Daphnia pulex: one gene and its partners. The protein of the gene in region 2 binds, or shares a complex with, the protein of the main gene of each other region. Links are inferred from orthologs where the notes say so. Each region holds a gene or a part of one and is shown on either strand. Other genes may lie near its edges.

The links.
Region 1: mediator of RNA polymerase II transcription subunit 24-like (region 2) and mediator of RNA polymerase II transcription subunit 19-like share a complex: the UniProt entries of both Drosophila melanogaster proteins name them as parts of the mediator complex. The link is inferred for Daphnia pulex from reciprocal best matches to the Drosophila melanogaster genes MED24 and MED19.
Region 3: mediator of RNA polymerase II transcription subunit 24-like (region 2) and mediator of RNA polymerase II transcription subunit 21-like share a complex: the UniProt entries of both Drosophila melanogaster proteins name them as parts of the mediator complex. The link is inferred for Daphnia pulex from reciprocal best matches to the Drosophila melanogaster genes MED24 and MED21.

What each region holds. Positions count from the first base shown.
Region 1 is NC_060023.1:10,280,534-10,283,419, reverse strand, and holds mediator of RNA polymerase II transcription subunit 19-like, read right to left. Parts: upstream 1,782-2,886; 5' UTR 1,565-1,781; coding exon 1,360-1,564; intron 1,319-1,359; coding exon 1,047-1,318; intron 982-1,046; coding exon 637-981; 3' UTR 554-636; downstream 1-553. Other genes in the region: MAP kinase-activating death domain protein-like, read left to right, coding at 85-171; required for excision 1-B domain-containing protein-like, read left to right, coding at 2,523-2,608, 2,675-2,873. UniProt on the Drosophila melanogaster protein: Component of the Mediator complex, a coactivator involved in the regulated transcription of nearly all RNA polymerase II-dependent genes.
Region 2 is NC_060019.1:9,367,107-9,370,871, forward strand, and holds the start of mediator of RNA polymerase II transcription subunit 24-like, read right to left. Parts: upstream 2,369-3,765; 5' UTR 2,177-2,368; coding exon 2,081-2,176; intron 2,008-2,080; coding exon 1,882-2,007; intron 1,798-1,881; coding exon 1,696-1,797; intron 1,638-1,695; coding exon 1,276-1,637; intron 1,220-1,275; coding exon 891-1,219; intron 833-890; coding exon 504-832; intron 447-503; coding exon 210-446; intron 142-209; coding exon 1-141. UniProt on the Drosophila melanogaster protein: Component of the Mediator complex, a coactivator involved in the regulated transcription of nearly all RNA polymerase II-dependent genes.
Region 3 is NC_060027.1:1,946,037-1,948,221, forward strand, and holds mediator of RNA polymerase II transcription subunit 21-like, read right to left. Parts: upstream 1,341-2,185; 5' UTR 1,248-1,340; coding exon 1,206-1,247; intron 1,130-1,205; coding exon 917-1,129; intron 840-916; coding exon 678-839; 3' UTR 601-677; downstream 1-600. Other genes in the region: nudix hydrolase 8-like, read right to left, coding at 1,517-1,696, 1,765-1,991, 2,048-2,185. UniProt on the Drosophila melanogaster protein: Component of the Mediator complex, a coactivator involved in the regulated transcription of nearly all RNA polymerase II-dependent genes.

The DNA of each region.
Region 1 (2,886 bases), on a different chromosome or scaffold from region 2:
ATTTATTTTTCTTTTGCTGTGTCTTCTGTTGAATCATTTGTTATTATATTAATCAACCTTTTTTTGTTCTTTTAAACAAAACAGGCGGATCAGATTTGTTACGCTGTTCTCTGCGTGTTTTCTTACGTGGCCGCCGGAAGCGAACAGCGTAAAAAGGTTGAGCCGACTTGAAAGCTCATCATCAATCGACCAAGCAACACACACCGGACATCACTTGATTCGCTTGTTACTTTTAGTTGTTGTACTTAAATGATTACTCGTTCGTTTTGTCGTACGAGTCGTCGCAATAATAATTATCTAGTCATGGTACGGTTCATCAAGAAATTTGAACCAACAGCAGTTGACAAATTTGCGTTCGAACATTCACTGTTAGTATTTGTAATTAATGAATATAAAGTTGTTTTACCCTATTGATCATATCATTTGAGCGATTGTGACTTGCGTGTAGCTATCGTGACGTGCTTATCATTGTTTTCGGGCAAGCCAACGCTATAGCTTTCAAACTCCGATTTAGAAGAAAATATTTGAAAGAATGAATAATAATAAACCAAAATTCACTCATTGAATGGAATTTTATTTATACTCTCGAAAGAAGCAGAAAAAATTCGAAATAAATCGACGTGACAAGAAGGTTTCTCAAAGTAAGGGCATCATTCCAGGTGGGTTACTGTTTGAATTTGTAGTACCGATTGAGGCTGATGCTCCTGGGTGTTCTGGACTGTGCTTCTGTTTCTTTTTCTTCTTCTCCTTCTTCTTCTTCTTGCGATCTTTCTCATCTTCGTGTCGCTTTTGTTTCTTATGCTTTTTTTCGTAGGATTCACCGCCCGAACCGGCTCCTCCCTCTCCTACTACTCCAATGCCCGGTCCAGCGATTCCAGCTCCAGTTTCTTGAATTGAGATCTCGCTACTCTTTTTGTGTTTCTTGTGTTTCTGTTTTTTCTTCAGTGGGGCCAGGGAAGAGGTTTGATACTGCTCAGGCAACTATGAAATAAAGATGTGAAAATTAAAATAACAATTATGTGATTTGCTGTCTAAAAGTCTCTTACTGGTCCTGGATGAAGACGGAATCCTGCAAGTTGAGAGGAATTCAAGAATACCAACTCCTTGCCACCGATTGGAGGTTTTTCAATGATGGATCTTAAGGATGAATTGTCTGTGTTACCAGGAGTATCAATCATGCCGGGTAATCCAGGTAAGAATGAAGATAGCGAATCTTTGAACTTTTTGCCACTGAATTTGTTGTATGAATGTTCCAAATTGTAGTGAGCCATTAAATTTGTTGCTCCGGTTAGGTCAGTATCTCCTGCGATAGATTTACCTTGAGTGAAAGAATGATACAGTCACGTAAAATATGTATACCTGGCAGTTCCTTGTGAAGATAAAATGGTCCGGTATGAACAATTGTTGGGGTCTTTCCAAGTGATATGGTGGTTTTCAGTGTTCCAGTGGAATCTTGTTGCCTGGGAACAACTGGGCTTCGATTTCCTCTTGGAGAAGATCTTGGAGAATTCGGCTCAAATCTCCGAAGAGAATCGGCCACTTGGATGGTGAATGATTCCGACATTTTTTGTCAAAAACTTTTACCCTTTTTACTCGTTAGTATGAGGTCATCGCTTGTAAAATCTCCGTATCCGACTAGACTGACCTTGGTCGAATCCGATATATCGTAGTAATTATAGATATTAATAAATTATTCAGGCAAATGTTGGATGCCAAAAATGACAATTGACAGAGTAAACACAGCAGCGAAAAAGCATAACGAAACACCAGCGCCACCTGTACCCAAAAGATATAACTAGATGCTCCTCTATGCAAATATTTTTGCCCGAGGACTTGAATTGGCCAAGTTGGCGAGAGCACGCTTTCAAAAGTCAAAAAGTCACACGAGGTTTAGACTCAGTGGCAGTTGCTAGGGTAGATAGTTTTGTGTCCGCCTCGTGTGATTTAATGGTGAGTTTAATCACAATTTTTTTCAATTTCCGTCTGGTAATAGTATCAAACTGTTGATGTATATTTTATTATTCATGTTATCAAAAAATATCTATCTAGCCAGAGGTCGAATTCAACTTTCGAATTCGAGTTCGGCGTCCTTCAATAGTCTCAAGAAAAGTCAGAAAACTGGCTGAAGGCAGAGGCTGTTTTTTAAAAAATCCTTATCTCATACTCCCTAGTGTATTGTAGAGGGTTTTTTAAAGGCCAGACTCAGCTTTTCCAACCCAGTAACCCAGCCCTTTTTTTGTCTGTCTCAGAATTGACCCTAGGGGCGTTGATGAAAGGACCGGGTCGTCACCCTTAAAATATAGTCGTCCTCTTTATTCTGGAACCACAAGTCGTGATGTTACGAGGATAGAAAACCTACCTTCGCAACCGTGATAATAAGAACTCTGTTTCTCCAAAGGTAATTATTTGTATAACCTAGGCTTATTTCCTTTTAAATATACAATACAATTCGTATCTTTTCTTTACCTAGATCGTTCATTCCGTTTTGTTCGTTACACGTTAGTAAAATTATAATTCTCAACATGGATGGAGTCACAGCTTATGGCCTTTTGAGGAAATTCCAGCAATTGCAAGAGGAAAGGGTCCACACCTACAAGATTTTTCATGAGTGAGTTACAATGTTATTTAAAAAATTTCACATGAGGTAATTTTTGCATGTATTGTTTCTTTCCAGAGGGCATAAGATTTATCTGAGCACTGGACCAAATTATGACTTTATCCAGTTTCGTACACTTGTTCAAGACATAACTCAAGACTTTAAGCGAATCTCAGAAGAAATAATTAAAATTGAGTGCCAATTGAGAAACATGCAGCCTGAACTGACATTGCATGTTATCAAAGTGCAGGATTATGAGAAAAGGCAGCTGGAACTGGTAAAAAATTATT
Region 2 (3,765 bases):
TGTCAAGGCTTTCAATAACTGATCAGTCAACATGGGATCGCAGCGACTTAATGACAAATCAGGCGCCTGATTAGGTTTCAGCCATTCTGAAGCCCACTGCTCAAAGAAAGTCTCCCCTCCTAGTTCACCACTCAGTATCACCTATCGATCATTAGAACAAGTAACATCAGAAGGCATTCAGGTGTGAATTATTAGATGATTTTCATTACCTCAATGCCGTACATTTGCGTAATACGGCAGAGCATTAGAAATGAGATGTCAAAGAGTAGAGCCCTTGCATTTGCAGTTTTACTTGGATCGGAACCAGCAGGTTGGCGATTCGCTTCGTTAAATCGCACGAGTTTTGTGGCAAAAGCTCGGAGTTTACCAGTCCCAGTTGCAGCGTTCAGTATGAGTTCGAAGCTTTGCCCCGAAAGCAAATGAGATAAAACTTTCAACAGCGTGTCCTAAAATGAAGATGTTATTACTTGCTCTACGTAATTCTCTACATTTTCCTTGATTACCTGATTTTTAGCGTAATCAGTATCCAACGTTTTCAGAATACTGGCCACCGTTGGCTCAGCACGAAGAACCAAAGTAGCTATTTGTGTGTTAGTGGTCTCTAACTTCAGACCTCCGCGGGATAGACTTTCTCTTTTGCTGAGGATGCTTGTAACATGCCATTCAGATAAAAGAGATGTCCGTATTTTCACTTCATTTAATAAACCTTCGACGACATTGCAATGGCATTTGGCATCGGTTGTTTCTAAAAGTCCAGGATAGCAAAGAAGGCGCTCAAACGCACCCGCGACTTCCGGACTTGGTTCTCCAATAGGCGAATTTGGATCCAATCCTGGATAAACGAGAATTTAATAGAACAGTTTGAAATTTTAAAATATTGCTAATCGTACCAAAAATTGATCGATGAAGTCGGAGTAGTAATGACGGTGCCTTGAGGAAAGTGAATACAGCCCAACGTAGCTCTCCAGGAGAATCAGCAGTTTCGGCTAGTCCTAGGCAACACGCTCTGAGGATTTCGCAATAGAGCTGGGTGGGTGAATAGCCTCTTAGTTTCTGTAGAACTTCCAACTGTCGAGTCAACTCAAGGCCATCTGACGTGGGGCGAAGCAACGCCTCCCAAGATATTAATGTATGTACGTCTGTGCACAATGAGTTCTCGTAAAAGGGCTTTTCGGGACCATTTTCTTTGAATAGATCATTTTCAAATGATCGGCATTGCCTGTGGAGAATTTGTTTTAATGACCACTCATTGACGAAGAACATCAAATGAAGTACCTCATGACTTTTTCGACAGATTCCACAAGTTTTTCTGATGACGGATTCCCATTAGTAGTTAAATTTTTCAGGTTGGACTCAGTTTGGTTTACAAGCGATGTAAGATGAGTTGCTGAAAACTGATCATTAGTGCAGCAACGTGCAATGTATAGAAGAGATATTAAATAGTTCTCTTCATACAAAGTCCCCAGTAATCCTGTAGTATAATGGCAAATGACTGAATAGTCATTGGTTGCACTATTATTATCAAATAGTTTTTTTAGTCCATCAGACGTAAGACTCCAAAGCCAAGTTTCCAAAGACAATAGAGAAGCAGCTAAAGCAGCAGGCCCATCGCCAGATCCAGTACATGAAATATGTTTCTAATAAATAATATTGTTAAAACCATATCTCAATTTAAGACTGAATGGGAAAAGTTACTATTGATTGCTCCACCAAAAGTAGTAACTCCAAAAGGCATCTGGTTTTCTGGATACTACCTTGAAGGCAGATATTTTCGAAAACAGCACTGTAGGAAACAATCTAAAACACACAAATGGTATGCAATTAAATATTAACAAGCAAAACAAAATGTGTTTAGTAATTGAATTAAAGTTGTGGTTTTACTTGAACATGTAATGAATGCTGTAGATATGACAACAACTTTGAATTTGGAGATGGTCCGATCAAAGCCTGCTGTAAAATGCTTTCTGCTAGATTATATGTATCTCCAGTTGATCCTGCTGGTATTACCTTTATGTAAAGAAAGTTTAATTTAAAACTGGTAAAGATATTTTTTTTTGTTACGAAATTACAGTTAAAGTACCTCTTTGACATATATCCCCCACATGAGATCTGTCCAACGTTCCCTCCAAGCCTTCCTCATCAAGTGCTTGAGCTTTTGCTCTACACTTTCAGTCATCCTCTCGATTATAGAAATTTCAAGCTTAATAACCTAAAACACAATTTAACAAACATATGTTGAAGTACGCCACAATTATTCGTTAAATTCTGAAGGTGAGGTGAAATTTTTGAGTTTGTGGTTTGTAGAGGAGCGTTCAAAGCAGACGACACGGTATACCATAAACACCCCAGCGGTGAAAAGTGGAACTACAAATCATTTTGACATTTTCGCGTGGAATTCAAACTACCAGCAGCAACGAATCGACCAATTAGTGTTTTACGTGCTTAACAAACGATCCCCCACTTGAAGGCCAATCCGTGTTCGGTGTTTTCAGAACCAAATCAATTTGACAATTTTAGTATAAAACAAAATAAATCTATGTTAAAACTTTTAGTTTTAACATCGGTTTACGTAACAGAAAGAATTTGGTCGCGGTTAAATGGTACACGAATTTTGTATGTATTTACGGATAGCTTTCATAACATGTGCACAAGAAATTTACCAATAGAATTTGCAGTGACAGGGATAAATTGTATTTATTATATAAAGTACTATATAGTTGCAAGAGGAAGGTCGGAATGAGATTGCTTGTTAGTTGTGACGAATTAAACGGGTTGATCAAACCCGTTGCCGACGTCTCGTCGGTCTCCAGAAAAATCCCCACTTCCCATGCCAAAGTGTCGATCTTCGGAATTATCTCCACTACCGGCTTGATGATGATCTAACGAATCTCCACTTCCAACTTCTTGAGATGATTCATATTCGTCTGTTAGAGGAACAGAATTCACGTTCAACGAAGTCTTTTCCGTACTTGAAGGCTCAAATCCGCTGCCGCTGCTGTCCGTATTTGTTGTAGCTATTCATGTTTAATCAAAATAATTTCAGCCATGACCGTCCGTGTATGCGATGATCAAAATATTACGACTACACCTGGTGGTACTGGTAAAAAGTCACGTTCATCGATTTCCGTATCATCACTCTCGGGTAAATCAGAAGCGATAGAACTCATTTTCTTTTCCATATCCTCATATTTTTCTATCTCCATGTGAGTACCATGGTCTTTTCTAGCTTCCGCTTCTGCCTGTTGACTGCAAAAATAGATTTTTTAAATTTTATTTAAAAATAAATAAGAATGTAAAGACTGAAGAAATTGAGAAAGTAGAACAATCTCCGATTTCTCCTCTTGTTGGATATTTATACTGTGCATGTACCGGTCATTATATGATGAGATGAGAAGCCCGACAATGGTCACGGTGATGATAACAATAGCTAAAATAAGGGCCAGTGTCAGCAATACGATTCTTCTTCTCAAGAACATCCTGGTTGGTGTTGAGTTACTATTTAAGGTAGGCTGGTTCTCGTGGACTATAATTAACAAAAAAAAAAAAAATGGCGTGAGATGTCGTGCTCAACTGCGTTGGAAAATGACATGAATCAATCGACACTTTTATTTTGAATTGTGCGTCATTATTACGGTACTATTTTTTGTGTTTTAGTTTGATTATGAATTCGGGAAATGTTGCAGCGTTCTGAAAAGTGAAATATTTTTTGTTTTGCATACACGCAGAGAAAGTTGGAGAGCCGATGAAGAACTTAGCGCGTGCTAA
Region 3 (2,185 bases), on a different chromosome or scaffold from region 2:
AAGACATAATCGCTGAACGCAGACACTGTTGTTGCATCAAAAAAGGGTTGGGGAGGGAGAGAGAAAAAAAAAGGAAGTGGGGAGACTGAACGCCACCCACTTCCAACCCCCTTTATTTTTCCCCCTTCTTACCGAACGACCGGAGATCGCCGAAAGGGGTCGGAGAAGATGGCAGCACTATATTTATACACACGGGAGAATTTTTTCTACTTCTTCTTTTTTAAAAAATAAAAAGCTAAACAACATTCTATCGTTTTTTTTTTCTCCTCCTCCCGCTCCCCCCTCCTCTTTTTTTTTGTTGCACGCCATTCCTAAACAAACGGACCGCGTGTTCTTTCTCTTCTTACGAGTGAACAGCAACTTCTCTCCCCCCTTCTTTCCATTTTGGGTTTTCTAAAGGAAGACAAAAAAAGAAGTGGATATATAAAAGGTTGGAATCCTTTTCAAACAGTTTCTTTTACAATCTGTCACCCCATCTTCCTTCCTTCCTGAAATGACTTGCCTCACCTGTGTGTGACAAGAATGTTCACTCAATATGATTTTGAAAAGAACAGATTTAAAATTGATGTTGTGGCGGAAACCAGAAATGAAACGAAATTCTTGCAGAGCAAATTGTTTGTTTCATTTTCTTCTTTTAAATATCAAAAATAGGGAACTAGAGCAAATAATGGTTGGATTTAGGAATTTGGACCTGTGCTCTGCATGGCCAGTTGGGTCTGTGCAATGTCGTGAAGTGCATTCTGAATTTTCTCGAGCATCAGCTCTCCTTCGCTGACAACCTCCCTCAATCGTGCAGCGGCACTTTCATTTTCATTCTCCAGCCTTCTGAGACTTGCAATCTGCAGCGATTGAATTAATTTTAGTCAACTTCGTAGAACATTGCACCGACAGAATACTAATAGAACCAAGTTTATACCTGCAGTTCGGAGGTAGAATCTTCACTGGGTAGTGAATCGATTAGGACGTCAATATCTTTGGCGCAGCGGGCAATCAATGTGGCAAAAAGAGAAGCGTGATCTTCTTGTTGTTGTTGAGGTGTTCGATTGCCTGCTCGATCGAAACCTGGGAATGTAGCCGGTGGGGCGGTTTGTTGCAAAATACCGATGGCATTGCAGAAATTATCAGCTTGCTAGAAACAGAGAATTAAACCACGAATTTGAGACGATACACTTGGCAATTTCGTCAATGCAATCAGTTATAAATACCGCATTTATAGCGTCTTGGAGTTGTGTCAAACGATCAGCCATTGTTGATGGAAATGCAGAGATGAGAAAAGCAGATGTGCCGGCTATTACGCCACCTAGCGATGAATCTGATAACTTCAATGCCAAATTTAAACATTCACAACCTGTATTGTGAAATTAATTCTACATTCTGATGATTACAGGAACTGGGCAGTAATTTACCGATCTGCATATATAATTTGTTAAAACAACAATTCAAGCTAAATATAATGCGTTATCTGATTCCCGTAACAGGCACTAAAACAAAATACTAGAACGTGATCCTGAACACATTACAGTTTAAAATTTTGTTTTCCTTCAACTAAGTAAATTTGGCTATTGCTATTAGTCAATTGATGGATAGATTCCAGGCAGTTGATTGCGGGATTATCGCCATCGGCAATCGCCATTAACTGTGTAGCAAAGATTTTCCCAACTTCGAAGGCAAGCGGATGAGTCGCATATTCTTTCAGCTAAAATATTTAAAATTCAATTACACAGACTAGGAATAATTGAAAATGTTGACATTTAGAAAACTAACCGGCATCCAACAAGCGTCGCTGAGCTCACGAGGACACATTTTGATTTCTGTGCTACCTTCAACAGGTCTGAGATAAGTCACGAAATAAATGTCTGAACAGCCGAACCTTGCACTGGGATTCTTCTCTCTTGATTGCAAATGCCGCACGGCAACGAGTGAAACGAACTCTGTCTTAATACCAGTCTCCTCAAACACCTCCCTCTTGACAGCAGTAGCAATACTTTCCCCTGTAAATTTAATAATTGGTAATGATTGAATGTTAATGATGTCTAAATATACATACCTGGATCTACATAACCACCAGGGAGTTTCCAGTGTGGTCTTTTGTAATACCTTTCCTGAACCACAAGAATCTCATTCTTATCATTGACAACCATGGCTCCAGCGCCTACCATTGTGTGTGCATAACTAGGCACTTGAC